Linked DNA regions of Ovis aries. The protein of the gene in region 3 purifies or fractionates together with the protein of the main gene of each other region. This does not show direct contact. Links are inferred from orthologs where the notes say so. Each region holds a gene or a part of one and is shown on either strand. Other genes may lie near its edges.

Region 1 (9,705 bases), on a different chromosome or scaffold from region 3:
ACAGGAAGATAACTGTATGGTGCAGCCTGCCTAAGGAGTTCTGCTGACAGGTGGTCCTAAGCTCCTTGTTTGAGGTCATTTTATTCAATCAAACTTTTCATTTCCTATCTGGCAATGGGGGTTGGGACAGTGGGGAACACATGTCTGTGAGGCAAATGGCAACCCAACAAACATTCACTTTTCAAGGAAGCAAGCTCTGCTCTTCATTTCTCTCATGAACTTCGACTTTGTTAAATGGCACACAGTATTCTGCATGTTTTAAAAAGTGAGTCCAGAGAAATAGAGGGATATAGTTACCTCATAAAGTTACCTGTTACCAACAGATGTCTTTGTATATACTTTATAAATGTACTGGCAAGAATGTAATTTTAAAATGTGAGGCTTAGTCACACTTAAAATTGGGTGAAAATTACTCCGACAAAGTACAAAGTAGACAGTAACAAACATCACCATTACCTTTAAATGTCATATAAACATCCTCTATTTCAGGCTGAAGTATCAGAAGTTTCCAGGATTTCCAATAAGGCAATACTTACACAAGTATTGTCAGACTAAAAAAGTAGCAAACTTGCATTCCCAAAATGGGATTATTAAGCTTATTTGTAATACTCTGAGAAAAGATACTGTGAAATTAAAAAAGGTACCATGAAGTGTGATTGCTATTAAAAAATATGTGACCAGTAGCTATTTCTAGTTGAGCCCTCCATTCTCTGTCTCTAAAGAAACAAACCAAACAGAAAGCTCTCTTCAACATTAAAAAACCTGCCTGAAATAAAAACCTAGAGTTCAAGTAGCACCCACTGGTAACTCCAACATAATTGTTGCCTATAAATTCTGTGGCAGGCTAATTGAAAGAAACCATCTTATAATATCTTTTCCCTCAAATAATTACAATCTCTCTTTGTACCTTCCCTCCACCACTTGGAATAAAAAGTTTTATTTTACTGTAGTAAATCTATTTTTTAGGGTTACTATTTAAGTTATTTCTTTTTTCTCTGACAGAAATCACACAGTATAGGTCAAAATAATATTTTCATTCTACTGGGCTTTCTTCACCTGATTATATAATGCTATGAAAGCATAATTTTTTTTTTTTTAAAAAAGCATAATTAAAAAAAAAAGGATTAGTAAACAAAGTACTCACCAAGGGAAGCTTTCTAGGCTAGGTAAGCAAATTATCACATGACCATAAAACCGGTCAATAAAGGACAATTTTGAACATGGGCTTTCTATTCTGTCAACTGAAATGATCTTCAACACATAATCAACACTGCAACCATTGCAGGTAAAAACATATGTACATGCAGATATAAGACAGATGCTCACATACATCTAGAAGATCATAAGCTTCTCCCTTTAAAATTTTTCATTGGCATGACATTGGCAATTTCTTTACCATCATCATTAGACCCACAATGAGTAACACCTACATAGTTGGTTGGCAAATATGACTCATGGAAATTTTAATTCTCACTGTGGTATATTTTCTGAAAGCAAAAGGAAGATTTTGGAGCATTTACTTTAGGCAATCTGTAGGCTTTCCTCCACATCAATCAAACTTCACATCCAACCTGACAGTACAGTGACCAGTAAAAGTCTCTAAAGAGAGTTTCTTTACAAGTAGAATGTTTCCTATTACAAGCCATTGAAGATGCAAACAAAGAAGCATTAATATGGAAGTGACAGTTCCCTCTTATAAGTCATACATTAATGACTAACTCATTTAAGAAGGCAGGAATATGATTTCCAATATGATATGGAAGATGGCTTGAAAATGTATTCCACAAACTCCACAAATTCCTTTCCAAGCATCGCCAACCCCACTCTCATCCCCCAAATTACGCCATCTCTCCTGTCTTAAGCTACCTACACTCCAACATGTACCTGATACCAGTATAACTGGCACTCAAATAGAAAATCCATGACCAAAGTTTGATTAAAACTTTGAAGAGGAACAGAGATGCACAGAAGTTGTAAAGTCATTCTTACATAAATGACCCCAAAGGATATACTTTAAACCGTATCCAAAGCTGACATATGGTGAATCAGACAAAACTTAGCACCATCAAAAGAAAAGATTAATACAGGAAGAATGATATGAGGATAAAGAAGAAATGGAGCTTTCCCTTGATAGTTTAGCTTACTGTATTTTGTGAATTTTACTATTTACTTTCTTTGAAAGAATACTATGGGTGATAAGGTATGCTTTGGGTGATAAGGTAAACCAGAATTGCTTTCATAATCTCTAAGACAGTGTGCAACATAGATATTAAAAGATATTTGAAGGGAAATTGGCTTATACAATGTGGTCTTCTTTTGGTTCACTTTACACAGAGTTAAATAGTGACCAGAAATAAAAAGCATTAATTTTCTTGGAAGAAAAGAGCAAGTTAAATGTAATGATGTCACTGATGAGACTACATATAAAAGCCTTGGTCTAAAATTTACTTGAGGGAAATGTGCTACATTTGGTGGAGAGAAAGGAGAAATGAGGATGAAAGGTTGACAGAGAAGAGTAAACCACAATGGAAAAATGGCCCTGTTTACTTCTGCAGTTAATCCTTAAGGCACAAAAATAAATGGAAAAAAATCTCTGATTAGAAAAGGGAGGGCCCACTGCAATTCTTTTTCATCGATTGACAACCCAGAAAAGACAAAAGAAAACATGAAAAGATCTTTTCCTGTGTTCAAATTAACCTATTTTAAACTATTTGACCATTTTGCTTTTTATTTTTTCTTTGGGTTCCATTTAGAGTCAGTTTAAATCATCTATCTATAAACCTACAGATCACGTAGAAGCAGAATCATGCCAGATACATACCTCAAATCATTTGATCTACTTACTTCACACTGGAAGAGAGGTAAATTTGAGAATGAAAATGGGAGATTCCACTGTAATAAACATATAAATACAGAAAAGCACACACCACACATATACCCCAGCCTCAAAACTAAAGCAAGGTGCACATTTACATTTCAAAACCTTGAAGCCTGAATTGTTCAGGAAAAGATCCTGCTTTATGGGCTGAGTTTATTCTGATTATAAACAAATGTAGTGTATATATACATCGGTCCAAGAAATCTTGCACAATGTGCATTTTACAATGGGTATCATGCACAAGATTAAAACAAGACCAAAAAGTAGAACTTCTGAAAGAGGAAGAGAGAAAGGCTCCAAGGTTTAACTGCTCTGTGAAGAAGAGATCACATCTGTTGACTGAGGATCACAGAAAGGTCCAAAACGCCCGTAAATATCCTTGGCTCGTACTGCAAAGTAGTATTTGCTGCCAGACACGAACTGGGTGAGAGTGCATGCCATAGGCAAGGGAAGTGCCTTGACTTCGCCAATCTTCTTCCACTGTGAGGGTACAGTGGCACTGGGTTCCTCGTGGTAAGCGTACAGGTGGTAGCTGTCAACAGTGGCGCAGCTTCTGTCCACCTCCAGAACACTCCAGGACAGTACAATGCCATTTTGACTCTGAACTCGTGCTAACTTCAAGTGAGGCTTCTGAGGCAGAGACGTGCTGGCAGCTTCAGGGGGCAGACGCTGTGGTTGTGGGGCTTCTGGTAAGGGTGCTGGGTGCACAGGGCGTGGGGGCTCCTAACAAAAAAAGAGTCATGTTGATGGATAATGATTGGAGAAAGGACTGTTTCTTAATGCGAGAACTATAACATCCTAGAAATCACTTACTTTTAGAGAGTCTTCATTTTACATCAAGAATACTGGGAAATAGCAAATATCACACATCTGGCAAGTTCTCCCTGATGATTTGAAACCAGTTCATGACCCAGAAGATGAGTGTTGAGATTATTCCCTCTGTGCTTTTTGGGTCTGAGATACTGAGTTTTCCTTGGGAAACAAAAGCCCTGGCTGATGGAACATCATCTTGACAGAAACTGAAATAATAATCTACTTCTGATAAAATAATTAATGATTTAATGATCTATACCACAGACTCTTGTTTTAATATAACATATTTTTTAATAACATATGTTGGCAGTCTATCAATCATCTAAAATTTGAGTATCAACTCTACTTTCATTTTCAGACTGTTTCTCCATAAAAAGACAGTAGCATATTCTTATAAGTTAAGTACATATAACACTGACTGTATATTATATTCTTGGTCAGTCTGCATGAAAAAGGTTACATTTATACTGGACTGTGAGAGAGAGAATTTAGAAATGTAGAAATAGTTGTGAATCTTTCTGCTAACAGGTAAAAGCATGAACAAGGCATGGGGATAGGCAAGCGAGGGGATTTATGGGCAAAAACACGGAGAATGTGAAGAACACACAAATTTGGAAAGGTAAGTTAAGGCCAGATAATGAAAAAGCATGAATACTAAGCTTACAAACTGACCTGATGCTAGACATTATTATCATCTGGGTTTTAAGATTACAATGATACCAGTTCTTCAAAAAGATTTAAGTAAGAGCCAGGAAACAGAGATATAAGTGGTCTTTTTTTCCCCCCAAGTGAAACATTATTGCTCAATGACTTTAGTTTGGAAGTCATGAAAAAAATAAGATCTCCTTAACTGAAATTCATTTATCAAAATTATGTTTTAATATGCATTTCATTAAATGGATAATTTGCATATACTAAATAGTGAATTCTGTGAAGATCTGATATCTTCTAAATCTCTATGCCTTTTCAAAGTTCAGTGCTAGTAGTATGCACGCAGTAACAACTCAAAAAAGGATCTGCCAAATAATCTCAAGAAATGAAAATATGCTGAAATTTATATGTGAAGTGAAAAAAATCATATACACATCTGGAGAAACACAGTTTAAAAGCTAAAATAAATATAAAGTTAGAGGGAGGGAAAAAAGCAAATGCAAATACATGAAACATCAAAAGCTGAAGAAAAACAGATTTGAATACTGGCCATCTTACTGTATTACTTCTCTCAAATTAAGTAAATAACATTAAATAAACACACAACTAGTAAGATCTATGAGAAGAAGGCTGCAGTCATGAACTTGACTGGAAAGAGTAGGAATTTAAGGAGTATGATAATAGCTTACAGCCTATAACAGCCCTTTCTAATTCTTAAAATTTGAGGCTACCAAATCCTCTCATATTTCAAAACAGTTAAGTCAACTGAGCTACTGCTTCGTTTCTGCCACTGCAATGGAGATTTCTACTGAAGTTTTAGAGATAATATATCAGGGATTTGCTTCAAAATATTCCAGTGCATACACAGGTTGTAGGAGTTTGTGGGTGGCAATACAGAAGAAAGAAGATTGGCTATGACTGCTGAAGACTGATGACTACTGAAGACAGGTAATGGGTAGGTGGGGATTGCTACACTAGTCTTTCTACTTTTATATATATTTGAAAATTCCCAGTTAAAAATATTATTAAAATTAAATTAAAAGAATGTTTCTCCTATGAGATACTGCTGCTGCTGCTGCTAAGTTGCTTCAGTTGTGTCCGACTCTTTGTGACCCCATAGATGGCAGCCCACCAGGCTCCCCCGTCCCTGGGATTCTCCAGGCAAGAACACTGGAGTGGGTTGCCATTTCCTTCTCCAATGCATGAAAGTGAAAAGTGAAAGCGAAGTCGCTCAGTCATGTCCGACTCTTTGCGACCCCATGGACTGCAGCCAACCAGGCTCCTCCATCCATGGGATTTTCTAGGCAAGAGTACTGGAGTGGGGTGCCATTGCCTTCTCTGATGAGATATAGTGTATTTATTATAAGACAATTCATATGGAATCCTGTTTTAAAAAAAGCTCTGATGGATCATCACATTTGCAAAACTGCAGCATAAATAGGACATTTTTACTATATATTTCTCGAAGGAATATGGGATGAAGTAGGTTGTTTGTAGTTGCAAACAACAGTAATGAGATATGTGCCACAGATCCTACAAGGCTAGATCTGAAGCACTGTGCCAACATGCTGGAGGTGCTGGGACCAGAAAAATCTGAGTTTTAAAATGGCTCTGCCTCTGACACTAGTTTGGCAGTGACACTGAGTAATCACCTAATATCGCTAAGACACAGTAGCCTCTTCTATCAAACAGAGAATATTGATTCTCAAGGGTTTCCCTGGTGGCTTAGATGGTAAAGACTCCATCTGCAACGCAGGAGACCTGAGTTTGATCCCTGGGTTGGGAAGATCCCCTGGAGGAGGGCATGGCAACCCACTCCAGTATTCTTGCCTGGAGAACCCCCATGGACAAAGAAACCTGGTGGGCTAGTCTATGGGGTCACAAAGAGTCAGTCATAACTGAGCGACTAAGCACACAGTAGGGTTGGGAGGAGTAAATAAAATAATACAAGTACAATAGTAGAGTGCCTCGTATACGTGAAGTGCTCCATTAACACGACTTTTTTAACTGCAGTGGGACAGTAAAATAACAGCTGCTAAGAGCACAGGCTCTGGAACTGGAATGTGTTGGGTTTTATGAGGTATGACCTGGGGCTGGTTATTCAACCACTCTGTACATTAGCTGCCATACCAATAATAAAGGATAAAAAAAGAAAGCTAGAGTTCTAAAGAATTTCTGTGTAAGGACCACATAAATTAACAGTGCCTGGTGCATAGAAAGCCCTTCACAAACTTAGCCATTACTATGTATATTTTAAAAAGGATGCTTTGCTTGGTAAAAAGTGGTATCAGCCTCAATCTCCTACCACTATTAGAGCCAGCATTTCCATTCACACACTCTATCATACCAAATACTATTACAGTCAGGTCACAGGATAATGTGACATTGATTTGGAGATTAAAACTAAGGAGAAATCTTTGGTTTTCTCTATTATCTCTTAACCAATGAATTCCCAATACCACTGGATGATTAAAAGTAGCAGGTGATAGGTCAGAGAAAGACAAATATTATATGATATCACTTATATGTGGAATCCAAAAAATAATACAAATGGACTTCTTTACAGAACAGAAACAGGCTCACAGACACAGAAAATAGTTATGGTTACCAAAGGAGAGGGGAAGGGATAAATTAGAAGTATGGGATTACCAGATATACATCACTATGTATAAAATAGGTAAACAAGGATTTACTCTATAGCACAGGCAACTCCATTCAATATCTTATAATAAACTATAATGGAAAAGAATCTGAGGCTGTACACCTGAAACTACCACAACACTGTAAATCAACTACAGTTAAATTAGAAAATTTTTTTAAATTAAAAGTTTAAAATAAAACCAGTAAAACGATAGCAGTGTAATAGAACTAGTATAAAATTCTGAGAATAAAATTAAACCTGCAACAATATTTCGTAAAATATTCAGTACTTTAAAAAAATATTCACTACTCAAGAATGCGCTCTTTAACCTAACCATAAGTTTAACATAGTCTATTCCACTTCTCACGCCCCAGACGTGGACTCTTTTATATGCTGCACACCACCACAAGCAAACTCTATACTCCCCAACCATCATTACCCAGAAGTGTTTCTGAGTAATGTTGACAGATATAATGGTAAGATCTACTTTCTTCAATAAACATCTGCTGGAAAAACAGAAGACCTGTTATTTTCTTTTGCTATAACTAGTTTAAAGAAAAAGTACTAACTGCAGTGGTATCTGACAGTGTTATACGTGAGAATTTTGTGAAGCCAAGGGTCCTCACTTACAGTATGCACTTGTGGTGGTCGGTGATGCACTGTGAGCTGAGGTCCTGTTGATCCCAGGGTTAATCCATTGTTTACAACATATGTAGTTGCTTGAGGCACTCGGACTGTAACACCTATAAAAGAAAATGAAGTGATAGAATTCGAATTCTATTCTAAATTTGGTAGAACACTGAATTAAACATTTAAAAATCAGTAAAGTGATGTTTTTAAAATTCAAAAGGAAAAATATATCTAACCTAGAAGTCTATACTCATCTAAAGTATCATTCAAGCATGAAGATAAAGAAATTCTCATATATGCAAGCTACCAAAATAAATAGTCTACCTCCATGAACTTTTCTTCAAGTAGCCACACGAGAGACAAGATTAACAAAGGACAATAGGAGACAAAGTGAACAGGAGATCCAGCATAGGAAAGAAAGAAATGCAATCCATACCCAAAATCCTAGCACACTGAAACACTGGAGGTACACATAACACAGAAGGCAGATAGGCCAGAACGGAGCACTGTGACTCTAAAGATAGAAAACATGAAGCTTTCTTCACAAAGATCTCTGCTGCCTCCAGAACAGGCAAGTTAATCTTGCCTCATTTTAACAAGGTTCCTCTCTTCCTTTCCATGCTCTGCTGATCAGCTGAGGATACTCATTTCATCCAACAGAAAACTTTATACAGACATCAGGGCAACAAAAGCAGAAAATTTAGAAGCAGACTTCCTCGGTGGTACAGTGCATAAGAATTTACCTGCCAATGCAGAGGACACAGCTTTGATCCCTGGTCTGGGAAGATCCCACATGCCATGGGGCAACTACTGAGACTGTGCTCTGGAGCCCAGTCTACTCTACAGCTGCAACTACTGAAGCCTGAGCCCCTAGAGCCTGCACTGCACAAGTCACCGCAATGCGAAAGCTGAACACCACAACTAGAGAGTAGCCCCTGTTCCCCGCAACTACAGAAAGCTCATGTGCAGCAATGAAGACCCAGTGTGACCAAAGATAAAATTTTTTTAAAATTAAAAAATGGAGAAAATTTAGAAGCCACTCATAGCTCAGCCATATTTCTGCCATATATCCATTACTGTGGGTACCTTGCCTGGGGTGAGCCCTGTTTCCCAGAATTCATTTAAGACACTGCTGACAGATTTCCCCAGAGAAAGCTCTTGTAAACTTGAGAAAGCTAAAGCCAGAATGTGAACTAGAGACTCTGTTTAGTTTATTTTCTCCTATAGCCATCACCTAATAATGGCATGACTGAAGTTTCAATAAACAGCTGGATTTGTCCCTGCTTGTTAAGTTTTGCGAAACTGAATATTTTTAGTGATACCTATAGAGATTGCAAAACCATACAGAAAAACAGAAAGTAAGGGTGATGGTTACCTCTGATGGAAAGGGAATAGGATGAAATTAAGAGCAGGCATACATAGATTTTTAGATTTTGATAAAGTTCTATTTCTTAGCCTAGTGGAGAGTTCATATGTGGTTCATTTTGCTATTTTTCTTTAAGCTTTAAATATATCCTTTATATAAACTTGTTTGTATATTTTGCAGCTGAAAACATGTATGTTTCATATATATATGTGTGTATGTATATACATACACACACACATACACACACGGAAATTACAAGTTACCTTAAACATTTTCCCATCACACACACACACACACGGAAATTACAAGTTACCTTAAACATTTTCCCATCTTTTATTTCTCAGCCACTTTCCATACCTTTAAGACTCTCATTGGAGGCTATCCTTTACCATTATCTCCATATGGGCTAAGTCACAATTGATCATTCCCACTTTAATTAGGCAAGTTGTCTCTAAAGTATGGTACAGACCAACATCAAATCAAGTAGGCCATAAATAATTAAACTGAAGACAACACACAGAACACAAATTAGATACCAGTCCATTTTTTTCTGGTTAACTCTCCTAAGAAAAGAAAATGAATGAATAATAGTTTTAGTATGATATTGAACACTTTTTGCTGCATCTAACATCAATATAAGCCACTCCAACTACATGCAAAAGAACAACATAAACAGGAAAAGGGTCTCTTACTGTTTTGGGGATTGACCTGCCGAACAGCAGGAGC
Region 2 (10,488 bases), on a different chromosome or scaffold from region 3:
GGTAGTTTTGGACCTGGCAGTGTTTGGGGGCCTGTGCTGCCATCAGGAGGCCCCGCAGGTCTAAGGATGTCGGAGGTGGGCCTGGAAGTCACTGAATGTGGCAGGAGGGAAGCCAAGAAATACCTTGAAGAGAATGTGGGAAGAGTGGGAAGAGTGAGGATAGGGAATGAGAGGGTCCCCAGTTACTGCCATGTTTATAGCATGGAGGAATAAGGACGCTAAGGAAGAATGGTGTGAAAAGAGTCGGGCTTGTGGGACCTTGGAGTGCCAATGAGTTGAAGACTCTTCCTCCTCCTCGCCTGTCAGCATCTTCCTGTGCTGCTGACAACTCCTCCAGAGACGGCCAGTGTGGTGAAACTAGGTACACCCCTGCTCTGGACTTCCTTAGGACCGCTGACTCCTGTGGGTGTAGATGCCTCCTCCCCTGCATAGCTACGACCCCTCTAGGCTGTGACATCTCTTCCACACTGTTGCTCTCCCTCTAAGACCTGAATATCTCCACTGGAGTGTCAGGGCTCTGAGGGTGTGGACACTCCCTCCAGGCTGTCAGAGCCTCTTTGGTGTACACCTGAGCTTCTTGACTGTCACTATCCCGCTGGGGTGAGGACACTTCACTTTCCTGTCAGGGCAGCGTGAGCGTGGATACTTCTTAACTCGGACTGCCAGGGTCCTCTGGAGAGCTTGCCCTCTTCCTTGAGTCACGCTGGGACATAGACACCTCTTCCTACAGACTATCAGGAACCCTCTGAGCTGTGGCCGCCTCCTCCTTCCTCTGGACTGTCAAGTCCTTCGACACATGGACATTTACTCCACCCAGCCCCCAGGATTGTCTGGGGTGTGGATATCTCTCTGTTCAGACTGTCAGGGTCCTCTGCTGTGTGGACTGCTCAATCTCTAGACAGTTTCTGTTCCCCCGCCCCCTGGGGCTATGACCCTCTCTATAGTTCCCCAGGGCTTTCCAGGTGGTGCTAGTGGTTAAAAAAGAAAAAACCCCACCTGCCAATGCAGGAGATGTTAAGAGACATGGCTTTGATCCCTGGGTCAGGAAGATTCCCTGGAGGAGGGCATGGAAACCCACTCGAGTATTCTTGCCTGGAGAATCCCGTGGACAGAGGAACCTGGCAGGCTACAGTCCATAAGGTCGAAAAGAGTCAGACACAACTGAAGCAATTAAGCACACACACATAGTTCCTCAGAACAGGAGCCTCTCCTCTTCATCACTGTTATCACTATAGCCAATGCTGTCACCTCCCAGCTGTATCACACCCCTAAGAGACCCACAGAAACACAGAGGTGTTTGGGGCTGTCCCTGTGACAAGGTACACTCATGGATTTAAATGGTCATGGTCCAGGGATGTTAAATGTTCCCCAATGCATGAGGCCTTCCTATGTAACAAACAACTGTCTCACCCCAAATGCCCACTGTGACCCACTTCAAAACTTGCTGTTGCAGACACCTGCTAGTTATTCACCCAACCCCCTTTTGTTTTCCATTTGGGCATATGGCTGAATCATGCTTTGCAGCTGCCTTTGAACTGAAGTAAGGCCCATGACTTGGTCGCAACCAATAGGTGTGGGCAGACATGATATGCACCATATCCTGGCCCAGCCCATTAGAGACCTCCCCTTCTGCCCCCCAGCAGCCCACCCACCAGGCAACACTGAGGATCAGAGGCAGCTCTAAGCCACGGTAAAGGCACAAGAGGGAAAGAACCTAGGCAGCCACACCATTTGGGTGGAAGGATACCAGCTTTGCCCCAGTGTCCTGCAGTGGCTAGAGGAGGAGGTAGCCAACCCCACCCCTGCTTCCCGCCCAAGGCAGACTGTGTTCTTTTTGTGCAGATTAGTAAAAAAAAAAAGTACTCCTGGGCAGACACTGACTGGTGATAAGCTGGACCCTCATGAAATGAGAAGAGGAAGTGCCTTTTCAGATGATGCAATCCTGTGCAGGCCACGTGGTCTGTTAAAAGGAATGCTGCCTGGATTTCAGTTCCCGCTTACCTCTTTGCTAGGTACCCTTATGAAGTCAACCCAGTTTGAAAGTATTTCAACGTGCCTTTAACTACCAGCGTGGAATATGTGCCCCTGCCAGGATAGTCCCTCTCACACTCAGGTTACCCCCTCAACACCTTCCCCCCAGGGAAAGCAGGGGAACTTCAGGCATACAGTAGGGAGAAAGAGGCAGGCGCTCAGGGTGGGAACACACAGTGGGGAGAGCCATACACACCCGCCAAGCCCTGTCTCCCTACCTCGCCCACGTACTCCATGACGAAACTGTTCTTGCGGATCTTCTCCAGCGTGCGGACACCCCAGCCACGTCCATCATCCGTGCGGAAGATGCAGAGGTCGTAGCGGATGCCCTTCTGTACCACTCGGTTGGGGCAGTCATAGCCACAGCGGCAGCGGGAGTTGCACTCGTAGATGGGCAGCCCGGCTCGCAGGCGCACCTGGCCCTGGTCATTGTAGGCAAACTTGTGCAGTGATGCCCCAGGGCAGCAGCCTCCAGCCGGTGCCCACAGACAGTCCTGGCACTCGCAGCCCACAGCCACCTGGTTGAGGGTGATGCCCTCACCAACACGGTACTCGTTGATGTACACAAAGGCCCGTGGGGGGCCATCCAGGTCCACTTCATTTTCCACGGTGATGCGTCCCAGGTGGCTGCGCTTGGCATTGAGCTCCTGCTCCCAGCGCTGGAGTGCCCGCCTCTGCTTGGCCTTCTGCACCAGGTAGTTGGCCAGGCTTGGGTCCAGGTGCCGGGGTGGCTTTGACCGGTGGTGCCGCCGGAGCAGCTCCCTTTCCAAGTCCTTGTGGAACTGCTTGAGAATGCGCACACACTTCAGATTCTGCCGTGGTTCCCAGGTGCTCTCGGAGTCTGGGTACCCACGCCATTTTACCAGGTAATACTCCTGTTCCTGGGGGGGTGGGGAAGGGGTGGGGGCACTGTAAGTGACAGACGAGACCCTTGGGCCAGCTCTTGTGGCACTTCCATCCCAAAGGCTGTGGGCAACACCCAAACCGCTCCTTTCCTAGAATGACTCTTTGCAGTGATAAAAAAACATAGGCTCTCAGAGTGAGGCTCACTAGGTTCAAATCCCTCTCTTCCCCTTACTATCTGTCTAAATCCAACTTTTATCTCCCAAATCTATCCCCTCCTGCTAGCTGTTCAGCCTCTCCTCTCAGAGTCATCTTTGACTCCTTTTTCTCACACTCCCCATATCCACCCTCTCACACTCCCCATATCCACCCTCAGGAAATCCTTCAAGCTACATCCAGAATACTACACTTCAAATCTCTGTCACCACCCTCATTGCTCGCCTGGAGTGCAGCAGCAGCCTCCTCACTTGTCCCTCTGTTTCCACCCTCATCCCTAGGTCTGTTCTCCACACAGCAGCCAGAAGGATCTTTTCTTGCCGAGAGGCACTATAGGATAGAGTTTAACTACACAGATTCTACAACTAAACACGTTGGGTACACATCCTGAATCTGCTGCTCCCTAGTAATGCAAACCTAAACTCAGGCAGTTATTTAACTTCACTGGGCCTCAGTTTCCTCATCCTGTAAATAAGAAAAAAAAGAGCAGATGTTTTTCTAGCATTCATTATGTAGAAGGTATTGTTCTAAGCAACTTATATGTATTATTAGCTAATTTAACACTTACGACTCTATATAAGGTAGATACTGCTAATTATCCCCATTGTATAGATGAGGAAAATGAAGTACAGAGAATTGGTGTAAGTTTTCCAGAGTTACACAGCCTGGATGTGAACTGAAGTATGCTGGCTCCAGGCTGTTCTGTTAACTGTCCTGCCATTATCTCCTCGGGCAACAGTAACAGTTGCCATTTTACAATGTTGCTGGTGGGATTAAATTAGTTTCTAAAAGAAAGTGCCTCGCACCGCAAAGTGCTCAAAACCATTCAGTTCAGTTCGCTGAGTCGTGTCGGACTCTTTGTGACCCCATGGACTGCAGCATGCCAGGCTTCCCTGTCCATCATCATCAATACCATTAGTTATCATTATCTCCACTCCTGGGCTCAGCATCTCAATCTTTGCAATTGGTTTGTATTCAGAGGGAGGTGGGAGGAGAGATTTATTTAAGGATTCCTTCTGGCTCCTGCCCCTCTCAGAAAGCCACTTGGTTTTCCCACCTGTAAAATGGAAATGATAAGAGGGCCTACTAATCCTACGTTTTTAAGATCAGAGGAGAAAACTGCTTTTGGAAACAGATGTGGGTAATGGGGGAGGAGGCGGGCAGGAAGCCAGCTTCCTTGAGTCACCTCTGCCCTGGCCACAGTCACCCCAGACTCACGCGGATCTTTTTGTAATCACACAGGTACTCGACTTCAAAGTCATAGAGGTTCCTCTTGGAGATGCCAAGGGCAGGGCAGGAGAGCTTGGCCAGGCGGCACAGGTCCTGTAGCTGATTCCAAGAAGATTTGCAACACACACTGCAGCCTAGAACAAAGAGGGCCAGAAAGAACTATTGCTGAGCATCCTGATGAGGCCAGGGGTCAAAGAGGACCCCAAATCATCCCTAGGAATTCCAAAGGACTACCTCAGAGGCAGTGAAATTTAATCCACAGGCTTTCCCAATGCTAAGACCCTTCAACAAAGATGTGCCACTTCCATCTACCCCAGTGCCCACTGTCCAAGGCTTACCCTGGAGCAGCAGACTTCCAAGTGGTTTCTGCTGCACGGATCATCCTAAAGGAATCGATTCCCCACCCCTCCTCCAGAGCTTTCAGCTCCCTCTATACCATTCTTTAAACTGCCTGCAAACCTCCTTGGAGTTCAGGACCTAATTGTCCTTCTCCCCACTTTGCAAAAGAAAGAGAACAACCCCCATCTCAGTAGGGTGCACTGTCCCAAGGTGGGTGGGTAGGGATGGGATTAAAGCCTCCAGGGCACCAGACAAAGGCATTAACTGGAAAGACTGGTCCACAATCTCATCTGTAACTCCTGGTGCCAGATGTTTTAGAATCCAAATTCCATTGGGGGGATTTTACAAGTGTAGTTCTAGGTATATCCCCTACATTCCCTAACACAGCCCTAGTGTGGTCAAGGGTATCAAGCCATAATCACATTAATAGTTCTGCAGAAAAAGTGTGAATTTTCACACTGAATAAGAGAAAGATGCAAGATAGTGGCAGTGATAGCCTAATTTTGCCACTGAATGACACCAAATTTAAACTTTCAGGGCTTTTTGGATTTTGGAATTAAGAATAAGAGATTGTGGAGTGATATTAGATTATAGGAAGCTTCCCCAAATGATTCACGTGAGTGCCTTAAATCCATATTTTTTCAGGCTGCATTTTGATTTTCTGTCTCATTCATATTTCTCTGAAGGGTAAAGCTCACCCAAAGGAGTGTGCTCTGAATTCAAGAACAGACAGAACAAATAGGTTAGTTGTTGGGGGGGGGGGGGGAGGCTACCAAAATTTTTCAGGACAGATTTTGTAATTTAAAAGGCATCTTTTGGTTCAAGGCATATTCTTAGTCTCTGTGCTTTAGAAGCCATTTTATCAAATCATTTCACAAAACCCTTGTTCCAAATGTAATCAGTCAGTCCTCATCCTGTTTCATCTTTTAAAAATGTTTAATATTTTCTACCTTCCATTACAAAAACTGAAACTCATGGTGAAATACTCTAGATGTCAACCTACAAATGTACAAGAGCTTTGCAAAATCATTACGTGTGCATTTCCACCCCTCCTCTTAGACAGGCCTAGTGGAGACTCGGCCTGTGCCCACGCCTTCCTTTCCCTATGCCTCTCCCTTGCAAACTTACATTTGAAGCCCCAACTAATGTGATCCCAACTCAAATATGCTGCTGTCTCCGCACTGACCACAGGTGGACACTCCTACCCTCAGAGCTCCCCTTCACACCTGTGGAACCCATCCCCCCCGCAGCTTTCCTCATCCAGAGGGGCCCACCTTCCTCAACACTGAGTCACCCCTCTTTGCCTGCGCGTCAGGGAGCCCAGCTCTCCCATTAGGGAAGTCTTCTTCCCCTCTTCCTGGGGGAGTTCTCTCTGCCTCAAATCCTTCCCCCATCACGCTGCGAGCAGATATCCTCCCCCTGATGATTCCCCTGTCCCGCAACGCTGAAAAGGAGGTCCGTCCCCTTCCCTCCCCTCCCCTTCCGGCGTCTCGCGTGGACACCGAGAGGGTAACGGTCACCGGCGGCCAATTTTCCCGCGCGCGGGCGCGGCCTCCCCCAACAAGCCCCCGCGCGTGCGCGCGCCGTCAGGTCGCAATTTGCGGCGCGCGCCCCCCTCTCGCGTCCCCACTTAGCCCCGCGCCCTCCGTGTTCCAAGGCACGCGCCCCCTCCCCTCAGCCCCGCCCAGCCCCGCGCGCCAGGCCCGCGCGCCTCGAGCCCCAGCCTTTTGGCGCCGACCTTCCGGCTCCCGGCCCGGTGGCCTCGGACGCCGGGGGCCCCGAGTCCGCGACGCCACCCCTCCAGCCCACCCAGCCTGCCAGCGGGCCCGCGTCGCTGCCGCCACTGCTTCACCTTTTAAATTTTCCGCCATCTTTCCCCACGGCTAACGACATTCGGGCCTAACCGGCCTCGCGAGAAGAGAGCTCGCGCGGGCGTGGCCGAGAATGCGCAGCCTATTGGCCGCGCCGCGCAGCGAGCAGCGCCTGCGCGGACCAACCGGCGAGCCGTGACGGGACCCCTCCCGGCCACCCGGCTCGGTCCCGAAGGCGGGTGCTCGCCAGTGTTTTGCGAGAGTGCCTCTGGGGGGCGGCCGCGGCAGCAAGGGCGGCTGAGGTTGCCGGAGGCCCTGCCCGTACGCCGGTCTGTCTGTCACGCTGTCAGCCAATCACGTTGTCAGCTAGCCGCAAAAGGGGATTCTCCGTCCTGTCAGACCCCCAATTACCGCCGTCAGTCAGTCCGTCACCAGATTTTAACCCCAAGCAGTCCGTGACTCCCCAGGTGGACTACCGCCGCATACAGCTGCTCGGGCAGTCACCCGACTGAAATCCATCACCACTACCACTGTCTCATCAGACCCCCGCCCGCCATTCACGCTGTCAGTCTGTCAGCAGCAGCATCCATTCTTGCTTTCGGGCCAGCTGCGAGGCCCCTGAGGCAGACAAACGGCGCTGACAACAGCTATGTTGCTGTAAGCCAGCCTGCCATTCCCTTAGATTGTCCCTTCATCACACCATCAGTCTGTCCAGTAGCCAGGCTCTCCATCTACCCTGGCCCTGGAAGCAGCTCCGAATCCTCTGGGGGAAATCACCTCACCACCGCCCAGGAAGCCAGCTTGGGCCCTCTGGCTGGCTGTGATTATGTCAGGACAGACTGTCATTGTCAACATCGAATGTAGCCCTGTCGTGTGGGCTACACGCTCCACTGTCAGCTGGTCACTCCATAATTCTCTCAGGTTCCTCCTCATTCATGCCGTGATCAGGCAGTTTATTTCCCCAGAGCACGTACTCACAGCAGCTAAAGCCTCCAGGCCACCTGTCAGTGGCCAGCAATCTGTCATTTCTCAGGCAAGGCATACCCTCCATTGGTAGGTCAGTCAGCATTCTCTGACCCCCAGGGCCCTTTAGGGTGGATGTGGTTCTGTCTGTGGACAGCCATGGTTTCAAGCGGCTACACTGATTTTTCAGTGGGCCAGCTGGCCTGTGACTCATTCAGTCTGCCCTTCGTATCAGTCAACTAGGTAGCCATTCTCAACATCTGACTGAGCACACGGTCTGTCAAGTACGCTGTGATTTGTTCACAGTAGACAGTCAGTCACTAGATATGGTTGCCTATCAGGCAGGCACAGATCTGTCCATCAGTCAACCTGAAATTCCCTCAGGGTAGACCTCCTTTAGGGGCTTCCCAGGTGGCTCAGTAGTAAAGAATTTGCCTGCCAAGGCAGGAGATACAGGTTTGATCCCTGGGTTGGAAGATCCTCTGGATTAGGAAATGACAACCAACTCTAGTATTCTTGCCCAGAAAATTCCATGGACAGAGGAGTCTGGTGGGCTGCAGTTCATGGGGTCGCAAAGAGTAGGACACAACTGAGCGACTGAGCAGATCTCCTTTACACATCCCCAGACAGTGTAACATCCACACATACTCTCCGGCCAGGTGTGATTCCTAGCAATAGTCAGCCATTCACAACATCCGGCTACCCAGGCAGGCAGCAACAGCACGGGTCATCAGTCAGTCAACCTGTAAGTCCCTCAGGAGGCTGCCTCTCTTTTGCAGCATCAGGTCATCAGCCCCAGCCAGTCCCAAGCAGGCTGTAATTCAGTTAGATTTTAAGTAGCTCACAGTGTCAATAACCCACACTGTCATTTCCTCAAATTGCCCCTCTCCCTGTTGTTCCATACTTTATGTAGTCAACCAAATGGTTATTCTGTGCCTGCCAGTCCAACTGTGAGCCAGCTGGAGAAATGACTGGTCAGGATGAGGTTCCATTAGCCCCTGCTTGCCATGGGTGGAACAGTTAACAGTGGAAGTCTCACTGTGAATTCTTCTCTCCCTTATTACTTCTAGAACAGTCAGATGCTGGTCCTCACATGACCCCAGTCTCCCCAGGCAGGCAGGACCTTCCCACTCCTAGGAGCCAGGAGGCCTGTCCAACCCACAATAGTAGTTTAAGGCATGAGCTCTTTCTTTTTCTTTTCTTTTTCTTTTATTTGGCATGACCTCTTTCTGCCTGAATCTGGGGAAGATGTAGTGGTTTACAGGTGTTGGGGACCATCCATCAGTCTTCCCCACATAGGATAGTATAGTGGGTAAAGGCTTGGATTTTAGAGCCCAAATACCTGGGTACAATCCAAGCTCAACCCTTCACTAAAGTGTGGGACCTTAGGCAGTTCCTTCATCTGTAAAACCTTGGATGAGTGACCTTGGGGTGGGTATCTCTTGCTCATCTGGAAAATGAATCTTTCTGGGATAGCACCTTTTTAGAAGACCTCAAAGTAAGAAATGACCCTATTATTACTGTGTCCTACACCCAGCTGTTCATCTGTTCACTCAGCATTAATTCAGTGCATACTCTGCTGTGGACTACATCTCCCAGTGCAGGGCCAATACAAAATCTTATCCTTTCCAAACTGCGCAAGTTTGACTGGCTTTTAATATAAACCTAACATTGGAGTGTACCACACATACAGAAAAACAAGGAGACCATGGGTGGTGACCCCGTGTAATGAGTTTCACAAATGAACATACATGTGGAATCAGAATCCAGGTTAAGAAACAACATTGTCAGCCAGGGCCCTAGAAGCACTTAATTGTTTAATATCTCCAAAGTCAGAGTGTCTTAAAAGCACTGATAGGTTATAACTTAACTGGAAGTACTTTTCTTTGGTCTTTTTAAGTGATATATAGAATAATGGTGCATTTTATAATCAGTGATGACTCAGGATCAGCGACACCCAATAATAACAATAGTAACAACAGCAGAAACAGCATCTCAGGTTTATAAATGCCTACAAGGAGCCAGGAACTTTGCACACACCATCTACTTTCATTCTTGTCACTACCCCGTGAAGAAACTGAGGCCCAGGGAGCTCAAGCAACTTCCCCATAGTCAACTCTTTTACCCCAGATCTGTGCTTGCTCTAGCCAATGCTCCTGGGGATTCAGAGGTTGTGTGATGTAAGGTCTTTTCCAGGACAAAACCTGCTCAAAGGGTTATGGAATTCTGGGTTTGGTGGGGGTAGAAGTGATATGACAGGCCCTTCCTAGACTCAGTGCTTGCCATGGGAACCCAACCAGGGTGGGGTGGGGAGTGGAGTAAAGGATGAAGAACAATGAAAAATTAAAGGGAACCCAGGACTCCCTCCTTCTCCAGCTTCCATGGCTGCAGGGAAATTCTTAAGGGGCAAAGCCAGCTCCTACTCCTTATACCTCCACCCTCTTCTAACCCCTTAAGCTGCCCTTGGATGGTTCAGAAATTCTTGCACTGATCTTGCAGATGGAAGAAGTCTGCCCCCTTTGAATTCTCCCTCACCTTTATTTTCCTCCCTGCTCTCTTACTCCTCTGAAGGTATGAAACCTGAGATCTTATATCCACCAGGTTTCAGAAATGGGAAGGGGTAGGCCCCTCTATTCTAGGCTTTGATGTACAAGAGTTTCTAATTACCCCCTTGGAAACAGCTTTGACACCAGGGACAGTTTTGAGTTGCGCCTTTTTCCCCCTCTGGAGAGCAAGTTCTAGAGGAGGAGGGTGACCCAGTGGGATCCAAGTTGGAAATAGGTTATATATTGTTGCCCCCATTGTATAGATGAAGAAACTGAGGCTCAGAGGTGAGGCATCTTGCCTGTGATCTAGAGCAGATCTATGGCCTCTTTCATTGCCATTGGCCAGGACTTAGATTGCACTGGGAACTGGGCAGAATCAAATTTTAGCATTGTGTGGGAGTTGTGTGCATGGAGAGTGGGAAGTCTGATCATTGAGTGCTCTCTTGATCTAATACTGTGTTGATCGCACTTTTTTTTTAATGAGTGTACAAATAACTCTCACTCGTTCA
Region 3 (9,705 bases):
GCTGACTTTCATTTAAATAGTAAGATTTTATCTTCCTGCCTCGGACAATTTACATTAATAATTATTCTATTGCTGTCGTTGTTATTTAACTGCTAAGTCATGTCTGACTCTTTGTGACCTTATGACTGTAGCCCACCAGGCTCCTCTGTCCGAGAGATTTCCCAGGCAAGAATACTGGAGTGGGTTGCCATTTCCTCCTCCAGGGGATCTTCCCAACTGAAGGATTGAACCTGTGTCTCCTGCATTGGCAGATGGATCCTTTACCACTGAGCTGCCAGGGAAGCCAATTATGTTATACTCTGGTAAAAATTTTCAAAAATACATTCTCTGATCAACTGATGTTGTCAAGAAAAATTAACCAAAACGTATGCCAGGAACATATAAAGACAAAACCAAAATTTTAAAACAAGTTAATCACACATGGTGGATAAAAATTAAGACTGGAAGTCAGGGGATATGGGTTCGATCCCTAAACTGAGAAGATTCCATATGCCACAGAGCAACTAAACCCGTGTGCCACAATTACTGAGCCTGTGCTCTAATACCTAGGAGCCAGAACTACTAAGCCCGCATGCTCTAGGGCCTATGCTTTGCAACAAGAGAAGCCACTGTAATGAGAAGCCTGGACACTGAAATGATGAGTAGCCCCTGCTAGCTGCAACTAGAGAAAGTCCTTGAGCAATGAAGAGCACCGCAGCCAAAAAAAAAAAAAAAAAAAGACCACAGATAGCACACACAAAGCAGATAATCCTCATGTAAATAACAGAGGTAGTTACTACCAACAATACCCCTAACCTAAGCTAGTTGTTTCAGATTTTTATGTGTTTTTGAGAACAAATCAGAGCCATAGTATGTTGAGGCAGCAACACAAATTCATCACCACTACTGGAAACTTAGGAACATGTCCTGTTTTCAATGTGGCAGTAGCGTCATCCTGGTAAACAAAGGATATAGCCATCGTACATATACCTCTTTGCTGATTTGTCCATTTTTTCCCTCTCCCAGATAGCTTTCAGGACTTACCCATATTTGGACGTGTTCTAAGCTGTCCCCCTTGCTTCTTCTCTAGTGCAGAGGCGGATGATGTCTTCATGCTGAACATGGGCTCCAGTCGTGTAGAGCCTCGATAGATCCATTCACATCTTTTGTCATCCTAGGGGATCGCAAGTAAGGAAAGGCGGCAGGGGAATGGGTTAAAGGCCAGAATCTACCCTGCCACTTGTGAAGAATACCATGTGCCTCCCTTGGGGGAAATCTCCCTGATGAACGCCCAATTCCCTATCTATTCAATAAATTTATGTGCTAGGCTCCACAACAGGCATCAGGAATTAAACAACAAAAATAAAACCCCCCAAAACAAAAACACATATTTCTTGTTTAAAAAAATGACAAGAGATAGATGTTTATACTGAGTATAAGACATATAACAAGGTTCATTAGGATCAAAGGGCTGAGATAGCTCAGAGAAGAAATATAATTCTAAGAAAGGTGTGAGAGGGGAGAAAAGGACAAGTAGAGAAGATTTAAGAGTTAAGCTGGGCCTTGAAAGATCATCAACACCTCAGAATTCACTGATCCTTCTTTTTTGTCCCATTATATTATCAATAACCCTGGGAAAACAGAACTAGCAGCCTTCTCTGTATCTACATGCATTGTGGATACTCCTGGAGAAAAGCAAAAACAAAAACACTATCGTGCAGATTAGAGTCTTAAATTCAGGGACTTTATTTTTAATAACCATGCATAGAGGAATGAAAAAAAAGTAAAATATGACCCAAAACTGAGAATAGGTAAGAGAGTAACAAAGAAGAAAAACTATGGCATAGCTACATATGCCATAGTTATCCTATGCTCCCCCATCCCACCCAAATCCCCGCCTCTAAGACTCCTAAGAAGAGTACCAGAAAGAGGATCCTGACTAGGCTGCCGTCCACCTCCTCGACTCGGGACTTCCACCACGTGCCTTCCCACTCAGTCTTGATCAGCTGGCCACTCTTGAGCAACACCATGGGGCGGTTGGGGTAAGCGGTGATATACTCTTCTATGAAGTCTCGGCAGGAGATGTCTTCTATGTCCTCCCAAGTCTTTTTCACTGTCCCAAGGAAGAAGGAGGGCTGAGAGAGGGCAGGTAGGGCATGTCTTGATAGGGGGAAAGGGTTGACAAGGAAATGTTTGGCATTTTTCAAGTTGGGAAGGAGAGAAAAAATAAATGAAGAAATCATAACCTCAAGGGAAGCAAAACCATGACCACTTAAAAGTACTGAACCTAAGGTGCAAATGCACACTCAAATTCTGCAAATACTAATTGAATCAGCAGTATGTAAACATAGGTGAGTCACTCATTTCCTAGAAATGGATGTTTCCTCTTAGGAAAAGTCAAGTGGAAATTCTTGCTTACTTGATAAGCCTAAAGGTAAATCAAAAAGAATCAGGAGGCACCATAAACTGATTTTAAAAAATCCTGTCCTTCCTTCTCATGCTCCATCAGGCTTTCAAAGGACCCTGAGTGTATTCACTGCCATGTTATGTGGAAACAGCCATTTCACTTGACCTTCCTGCAACTAAAAACAGTTGCTTCTATAAGAGTCTCTCCTAAGCCAGAATCACAAGTATAGGGGAAACTATGAAGACCCCATCTAATACAGGTTCTGTAGAAAGCACTCTGAAAGCAATGCACAGACTACAGATTTACACAAATGTTAAACATGAGACTAGGAGAGAAGTAACATCTTGTCAAACTTAAATCACTCAGAAATGAAACTAAAACACATCTACAATACGTGCATCCACTCAAAATCAGTCATGATCTTCTAATGTCTGACTCTATGGCTGCCAAGACCTAACACTAGGCACGAGCAAATAAAACTGTATCTCTCAAAAAATATGAATCAAACTTATGCTCTTTGAAACTAAAACACCAAGAACATTAGGGCTTTTCCATTGGTTGTCTTAAGAAATAGAAGGTAGAAGAGGAAACAAAAAGAGCTAAGGAAAAAAGGAGGGACACTCACGTGGCCGGCAAATGGGATATAGTTCAGACTGTGTAACATAGGAAGCATAGCCATCATCAAAGAAGATGAGAAACCTGTAAGGAAAGAGTGATGGTAGAAAGACTGGGGGTTACTATATTTAACATGACCAGAAATTATTATAGCTTCCATTCCTCTGGATCACAAACAAGACACAATCCAGGGAACATGTTCCAGTGTACTGTTTTCTTTCTACTATTCTTTCTTTCCACCCCAAGAGTTAAGAATTCTCCCTTAGGTTAGCAGATGCAAACTATTATATATAGACTGGATAAACAATAAGGTCCCACTGTATAGCACAGGGAACTATATTCAATATCCTGTAATAAATCACAATGGAAAAGAATATTAGAATTCTCTCTTAATCTAACCAACATATCCCCACTTTCCCAAAAGTGATTTATTCTTGTTATACTATTGGACTCTCACATTGTTGAAAAACATTTAGTCTCCATTTCTTCCTTCTGTATGAATTCTCTGTTCCCCTAACCATTAATCAATCTGGATTATTCTCCCCTGACCAAATTTTCTCTTTGAGAAAAGGGAAAAAAAGGGGGGAAGGGAGCAAGAAAGAACCACCCACATGACTCTGTGGCAAAGGAAAGAGGGAGTTTCCAGCCACTGAGGACTAAGAACATCAGAGCCAATTGTGAGATCTGCACTATGGCTTAAACAGGGCAGATGACCTGCTCCTGGCTTCCACTCTCCTTACAATTTCTGTCTAGGTACCTGAGCTTGTTTTTGACGTTTGGTGTCTCAGCTACAATGCCAGCATAGAGCCAGACCTGATTCCCATCTTTGTATTTGGCCACTACTCGACTGCCCACATACAACTTGTCAGCAGGAGGGTGGTAATCGTAGGCAATGTGGTTTCCTGACAGAAGACTCTTTCCTTTGTTGTCAAATTTCACCTTGTACTTCTTTCCTGACCCTGAGTCAAACGGAAAAGAGAAACAAAAATTTTTAGAAACCATCAGTTTCTGTGTGGATCCTGATTGCTATGTGAGAGACAAAAGCCAAAGGCTCTGGGGAAAAGACACGATCAGTGATGGTGGCCTGCAGGCTCTTGCATTAGCCCTCCCTCTAGCCTGAACATACCAACCGTCTGGATGGCAATAAGGGTGCCTTTGTGCCACGTCTTAGTTCTTTTTTTGCCGAGGATGCGCATGCTGACGACCAAGTCACCATCTTTGCTCAGTTCTCCAGGCATCTGGCTCAAGGTTCCTAGGAAGAAAGCAAAGTTGCTCTAAAGAGATATGGCACAGATTGGGGAAAGAATGGAAAATAAAGAGGGTACTGGGTTATTGGGACAAATGGGGTAATCACTGATCCTTAACCAATTTTCCTGCTCCCTTGGCCAAGGGCAGATATATAAGACACAGTGGACTCAGCTCTTTATGCTAACAGGAAAAATATGAATTGAAATTCACATGTAACTCAAGACCATCTCACTGTAACCAAATATTTCTGACTCCTTATTAACAACATTAACTATTACTCATTAAATGCCAAGCAGCATGGTGGCTCAGACCATAAAGAATCCACCTGCAATGCAGGAGACCTGGGTTTAATACCTGGGTTGGGAAGATCCCTGGAGGAGGGCATGGCAACCCACTCCAGTATTCTTGCCTGAAGAATCCCCATGGACAGAGGAACCTGGCGGGCTACAGTCCATGGGATCGCAAAGAGTCTGGCACAACTGAGCAACTAAGCACAGCACAGCTTTTATAAATCATTTTCCTGGGAGGGATCTCTTAATAGCTGCATTCTACAAAGAAAGCTTCCTTCAGACCTCTTTTTTACAGTTTGAGTTACTGTTTTCTTTAACCTTCATCTGAAAGAAGATATCATGAGCACGGAGCTAAAAAGTTATTTGGACAAAGCCATCACATGGTAGAAAGCCATCAGACAAACGACTTAAGCCAAGAGACTTCCCCAGTGGTCCAGTGGTTAGGACTCCGCACTTTCAGTGCTGTGGGCCTGGGTTCGATCCCTGGTCAGGGTACTAAGATCCCACAAGCTGAGTGATACAGCCAAAAAAAAAAAAGACTTAAGCAAACAGCAAGTGGTATTAAAAGAATCCTACAGAGGTAGAGAAAGACACTGAAACATTAAAACACAGTATCCATGAAATCTCTGTAGGACTTCACCCCTGCACCTATACCAAGATGTCTCCTGACTCTAACCTTTGTGAAGATCCTGGGAACTACTCTTCTTGTTGACAGCATCCATGAACTTCTGGACATCTTGAGCCGATTTTCTTAAGGCAGCCATAGCTTCACGGAGCTGTGAGGAAGGGGACAAAAGAAACAAGTTTTAAAATAGTAGCACCGCTTCTTGAGAATAACAACTTGTCTTTTAAAAAATGAAACAGACTGAGTTATGTTTAGAAGCTTACAGTTACTTCTAGAAGCTTATAGTTACTCTATCAGGCAAAACTTGCCCTTTCTTACAAATCTGGTTCAGAAATCAGCTTTAGGAAGCTTTCCTTGATTAATTAATCTAGCTTATCACTGCCAAATTCTATATTCATACAGCATTCAGTGCATGTATCTATAAGGAGCTTTTGTATTCTTATAACATTCATTAGAGAACTGCAACCCATGGGGCTGACTTCAGGGTGACTGGTTATATCTTGATGACTGAACTGACTTAACGGTTAGGCCAAAAGTTTCTTCTATCTTCATATTCTTCTCTCTCATCCTTCTCTTACTCATTTCAAGTTACCTTCTGGTCTTTTGGAGTTCTGTTCCCAGCATCACCTAGATGAGAAAAATTGAGTGAAAGACTTATACATAAGAATTTCCAAGAAATCAAGAACCAAACTATCATGGGAACACTTGATAACAACTATAAACTAGTTACAGATACACCTATCTATGTAAAAGTACGAAAAGCATTCAGAAAGATAAAACAGCAAACAGATAACAATTCTTACCTGGGGATAAAGTACTGGTACAGGTGACAGTCTATGGGATCTGGGATTTTCAAATACTTGAATTTTTATAACAATAATTTTTTTATGGGTCATCTGAATGATTTGAAAAATGAAATGTGCCCAGTGAATTAAGTTAAAATGTTTCTTGAGTAGTGCTGTCCAATAGATAATGGTGATGGTTGTACAACCTTGTGAATACACTAAAAACCACTGAATTATACATTTTAAAAGGGTAAATTTGTTATGTAAATTACCATCTGATTTTTTATATTTTTGAGTCAAATTTAAAGGCTTCCGTAATAGCTCAGTTGGTAAAGAATCTGCCTGTAATGCAGGAGACCATGGTTCGATTCCTGCTATGATAGACATATTCTGTTTCTGCACTGGCCAATCTGTTACAATTCAGCGACTAAGCACACGAAATGAGTTTTAAATTTTACTGAAGCGAAGTAAAGTAAAAGTTGCTCAGTCATGTCCAACTCTTTGTGACCCCATGGACTGAATTCTCTAGGCCAGAATACTGAAGGGGTAGCCTTTCCCTTCTTCAGTGGATCTTGCCAACCCAGGGATTGAACCCAGGTCTCCCGCATTGCAGGTGGACTCTTTACCAGCTAAGCCACAAGGGAAGTCCAAGAATACTGGAATGGGTAGCCTATCCCTTTTCCAGTGGATTTTCCCGATCCAGGAATCAAACCATGGTCTCTTGCATTGCAGGCAGATTCTTTACCAACTGAGCTATCATGGAAGCCTTTGCTGCTGCTGCTGCTGCTGCTAAGTCTCTTCAGTCGTGTCCGACTCTGTGTGACCCCATAGATGGCAACCTACCAGGCTCCCCCGTCCCTGGGATTCTCCAGGCAAGAACACTGGAATGGGTTGCCATTTCCTTCTCCAATGCATGAAAGTGAAAACTGAAAGTGAAGTTGCTCAGTTGTTTGACCCTTAGCGACCCCATGGACCACAGCCCACCAGGCCCCTCCATCCATGGGATTTTCCAGGCAAGAGTACTGGAGTGGGGTGCCACTGCCTTCTCTGATGGAAGCCTTTAAATTTGACTAAAAAATTTAAAAAATCAGATGTAATTTACGTAACAAATTTACCCCTTCAAAATGTTTAATTCAGTGGTTTTTAGTGTATTCACAAGGTTGTACAACCATCACCAGTATCTAATTCTAGAACATTTTCATCACCCTGAAAAGAAATCCCACTAAGTATGGGGTTTCTATTAACAGTCATTCCCCATTCCACCACACCTGCAACCTCCAGCAACTACTAATCTACTATCTGTCTCTATGGTTTGCCTTTTCTGCATACTTCACATAAGTGGAATCATATGTGGTACATCACATGAGATTCATCAATGTTGCAGCATTATTAGCACTTCATTTTTATGATTAATACTCCATTGTATGGCTATACTATATTTTATTTATCCACTCATCAGTTGATGGACATTTGGGTTATTTACACTTTTTGGCTGTTATGAATAACGTTGATAGGCACATTTGTATATGAGTTCCCAAAAATAATTTAAAAACTATTTCTGGCTGTGCTGGGTTTTAATTGTGATGCACATGCTTTCTCCTTGTCTAGCTGCAGTGGGCGGGCACTACTCTCTAGCTGTGGTGGTGTATGGGCTTCTCATAGCGGTGGCTTCTTTTGTTGCGGAACACTGACTCTAGGGTGCTTAGGCTTCAGTAGTTGCAGGCTCAGCAGGGTGCAGCACACAGGCTTGGTTGCCCTAAGGCATGTGGGATCTTAGTTCCTGGACTAGGGATCAAACCCATGTCCCTTTCATTTGCAGGAGGATTCTTAACTGCTAGACCACCAGGAAGTCCCTATATGAGTTTTTATGTGGGCATATGTTGTCATTTCTCTTGGATTATGGCTAGGAGTAGAACTGCCAGGCCATAAAGTAACTCAATGTTTAACCTTTTGGTGAATTCAAAGACTTGTCCAAAGTGGCTGTACCATTTTGCATTCTCACCAGCAATTTTAGAGGGTTCCAATTTCTCCACATCCTTACCAAAACTTATATTACTATCTTTTTTCTTACAGCTATCCTAATAAGTAGTTTTGACTTGCATTTCCTTAATAGCTAATGATGTTAAACATCTTTTCATATACTTATTAGTCATTTACACATCTTTGGAGAAGTATCTATTCAAATATTTCGCCTATTTTTAAATGGCTATTTGTCTTTTTATTCTTAAGTTTTAAGAGTTACTCATACATCCTGGGAAATACTAGACTTCACATTTCACATAATTTAAAAATTTTTGGCCCTGCCATGTGGTTTGCAGGATCTTAGTTCCCTGACCAGGGATTGAACCCAGGTTTTCCACTGTGAAAACTCAGCATCCTAAACACGGGACCACCAGGAATCCTCACATTTCACATAATTTAAATAGCCACATGTGGATGGTGGCTACTGTATTGTATAGTGAAGTTTTAGAGATTTATAACATTTAAAAATGGAAGGCAATGGTGATAATCATTTTGCAATAAACATATATATCAAATCAGTCTTATACCTTAAATACCATATTATCAACTATATCTCAATAAAACTTGGAGGGAAACGTGGCAAAAATAAATAAATGGAAAGCAATGTAAATGACCAAAAATGAAATAAAAATTTAGTGAGATCATCAGATAAAAAAATCTATATGCAAAAGTCAACCACATGTCTAAATACTAGCAAAACTATTTAGAAATGTAGTTTTTAAAAAAAGTTAGTGCAAGCTTTCTGTGGAGAAAATGAATCAACCTCAGTGAAAAATGTTAAGGACTAAATACATGATCTTTGTATGGGAGATTTAAATACTATGAAAATTATTAACTATCTCTATATTGGTAATCTGATAATGTCAACTGATACTGATATGTCTATAGCTCTGGGGTTTTTATCGGTGTGTGTGGGAAATGGGGGAACATGAAAAGCTAACTCTCAAATATAAGGAAAACAGGTGTAAAAGAACCAAGACATCTGTGAAGAATGAGAAAGTGAAGTTACTAGAGTTAACAGAAAAACTTATAAAGTCACAGTGATGGACAGTATAGAGTTGACTTAGTAAGAAATGACACACCAATGAAACAGAAAATCCAGGAACAAACCCATAGATATATGTATATATAAGTAATTTATGATAGAACAGCAGAGACATTACTTTGCCAACAAAAGTCCTTCTAGTCAAAGCTATGGTTTTTCCAGTAAATGGCAATCCACTCCAGTACCCTTGCCTGGAAAGTCTCATGAACAGAGAAGCCTGATAGGCTACAGCCCATGGGGTTGCAAAGAGTCGGACACAACTGAGCAACTTCACTTCACTTTCACATGTATGGATGTTAAGAGTTGGACTATAAAGAAAGCTGAGCACAGAAGAATTGATGCTTTTGAACTGTGGTGTTGGAGAAGACTCTTGACAGACTCTTGGACAGCAAGGAGATCCAACTAGTCCATCCTAAAGGAAATCCGCCCTGAATATTCACTGGAAAGACTGATGCTAAAGCTGAAACTCCAATACTCTGCCCACCTGTCGGGTAGAACTGATTCATTCGAAAAGACCCTGAGGCTGGGAAAGACTGAAGGTGGGAGAAGGGGATGACAGAGGATGAGATGGTTGGATGGCATCACCAACTCAATGGATATGAGTTTGAGTAAGCTCCAAAGGTTGGTGATGGACAGAGAAGCCTGGAGTGCTGCAGTCCATGGGGGTCGCAAAGAGTCAGATACGACTG

Evidence for each region.
Region 1: the proteins of SETDB1 (region 3) and ATF7IP purify together in Homo sapiens (affinity purification with mass spectrometry; 6 studies listed by BioGRID and IntAct, counting the BioPlex papers as one, with this or other methods). This does not show direct contact. The link is inferred for Ovis aries from reciprocal best matches to the Homo sapiens genes SETDB1 and ATF7IP.
Region 2: the proteins of SETDB1 (region 3) and SUV39H1 purify together in Homo sapiens (affinity purification with mass spectrometry; 3 studies listed by BioGRID and IntAct, counting the BioPlex papers as one, with this or other methods). This does not show direct contact. The link is inferred for Ovis aries from reciprocal best matches to the Homo sapiens genes SETDB1 and SUV39H1.

The regions. Positions count from the first base shown.
Region 1 is NC_056056.1:201,008,587-201,018,291, forward strand, and holds part of ATF7IP (activating transcription factor 7-interacting protein 1), read right to left. Parts: coding exon 9,672-9,705; intron 9,543-9,671; coding exon 9,516-9,542; intron 7,727-9,515; coding exon 7,614-7,726; intron 3,851-7,613; coding exon of another isoform or gene 3,809-3,850; exon of another isoform or gene 3,692-3,808; intron 3,602-3,691; coding exon 3,182-3,601; 3' UTR 1-3,181. UniProt on the Homo sapiens protein: Recruiter that couples transcriptional factors to general transcription apparatus and thereby modulates transcription regulation and chromatin formation. Can both act as an activator or a repressor depending on the context.
Region 2 is NC_056080.1:56,393,398-56,403,885, forward strand, and holds the start of SUV39H1 (histone-lysine N-methyltransferase SUV39H1), read right to left. Parts: upstream 6,555-10,488; 5' UTR 6,531-6,554; coding exon 6,512-6,530; intron 4,455-6,511; coding exon 4,309-4,454; intron 2,913-4,308; coding exon 2,250-2,912; intron 1-2,249. UniProt on the Homo sapiens protein: Histone methyltransferase that specifically trimethylates 'Lys-9' of histone H3 using monomethylated H3 'Lys-9' as substrate. Also weakly methylates histone H1 (in vitro).
Region 3 is NC_056054.1:100,895,020-100,904,724, reverse strand, and holds part of SETDB1 (histone-lysine N-methyltransferase SETDB1), read right to left. Parts: intron 5,792-9,705; coding exon 5,757-5,791; intron 5,316-5,756; coding exon 5,216-5,315; intron 4,254-5,215; coding exon 4,128-4,253; intron 3,961-4,127; coding exon 3,759-3,960; intron 3,086-3,758; coding exon 3,012-3,085; intron 2,093-3,011; coding exon 1,902-2,092; intron 1,154-1,901; coding exon 1,024-1,153; intron 1-1,023. UniProt on the Homo sapiens protein: Histone methyltransferase that specifically trimethylates 'Lys-9' of histone H3. H3 'Lys-9' trimethylation represents a specific tag for epigenetic transcriptional repression by recruiting HP1 (CBX1, CBX3 and/or CBX5) proteins to methylated histones.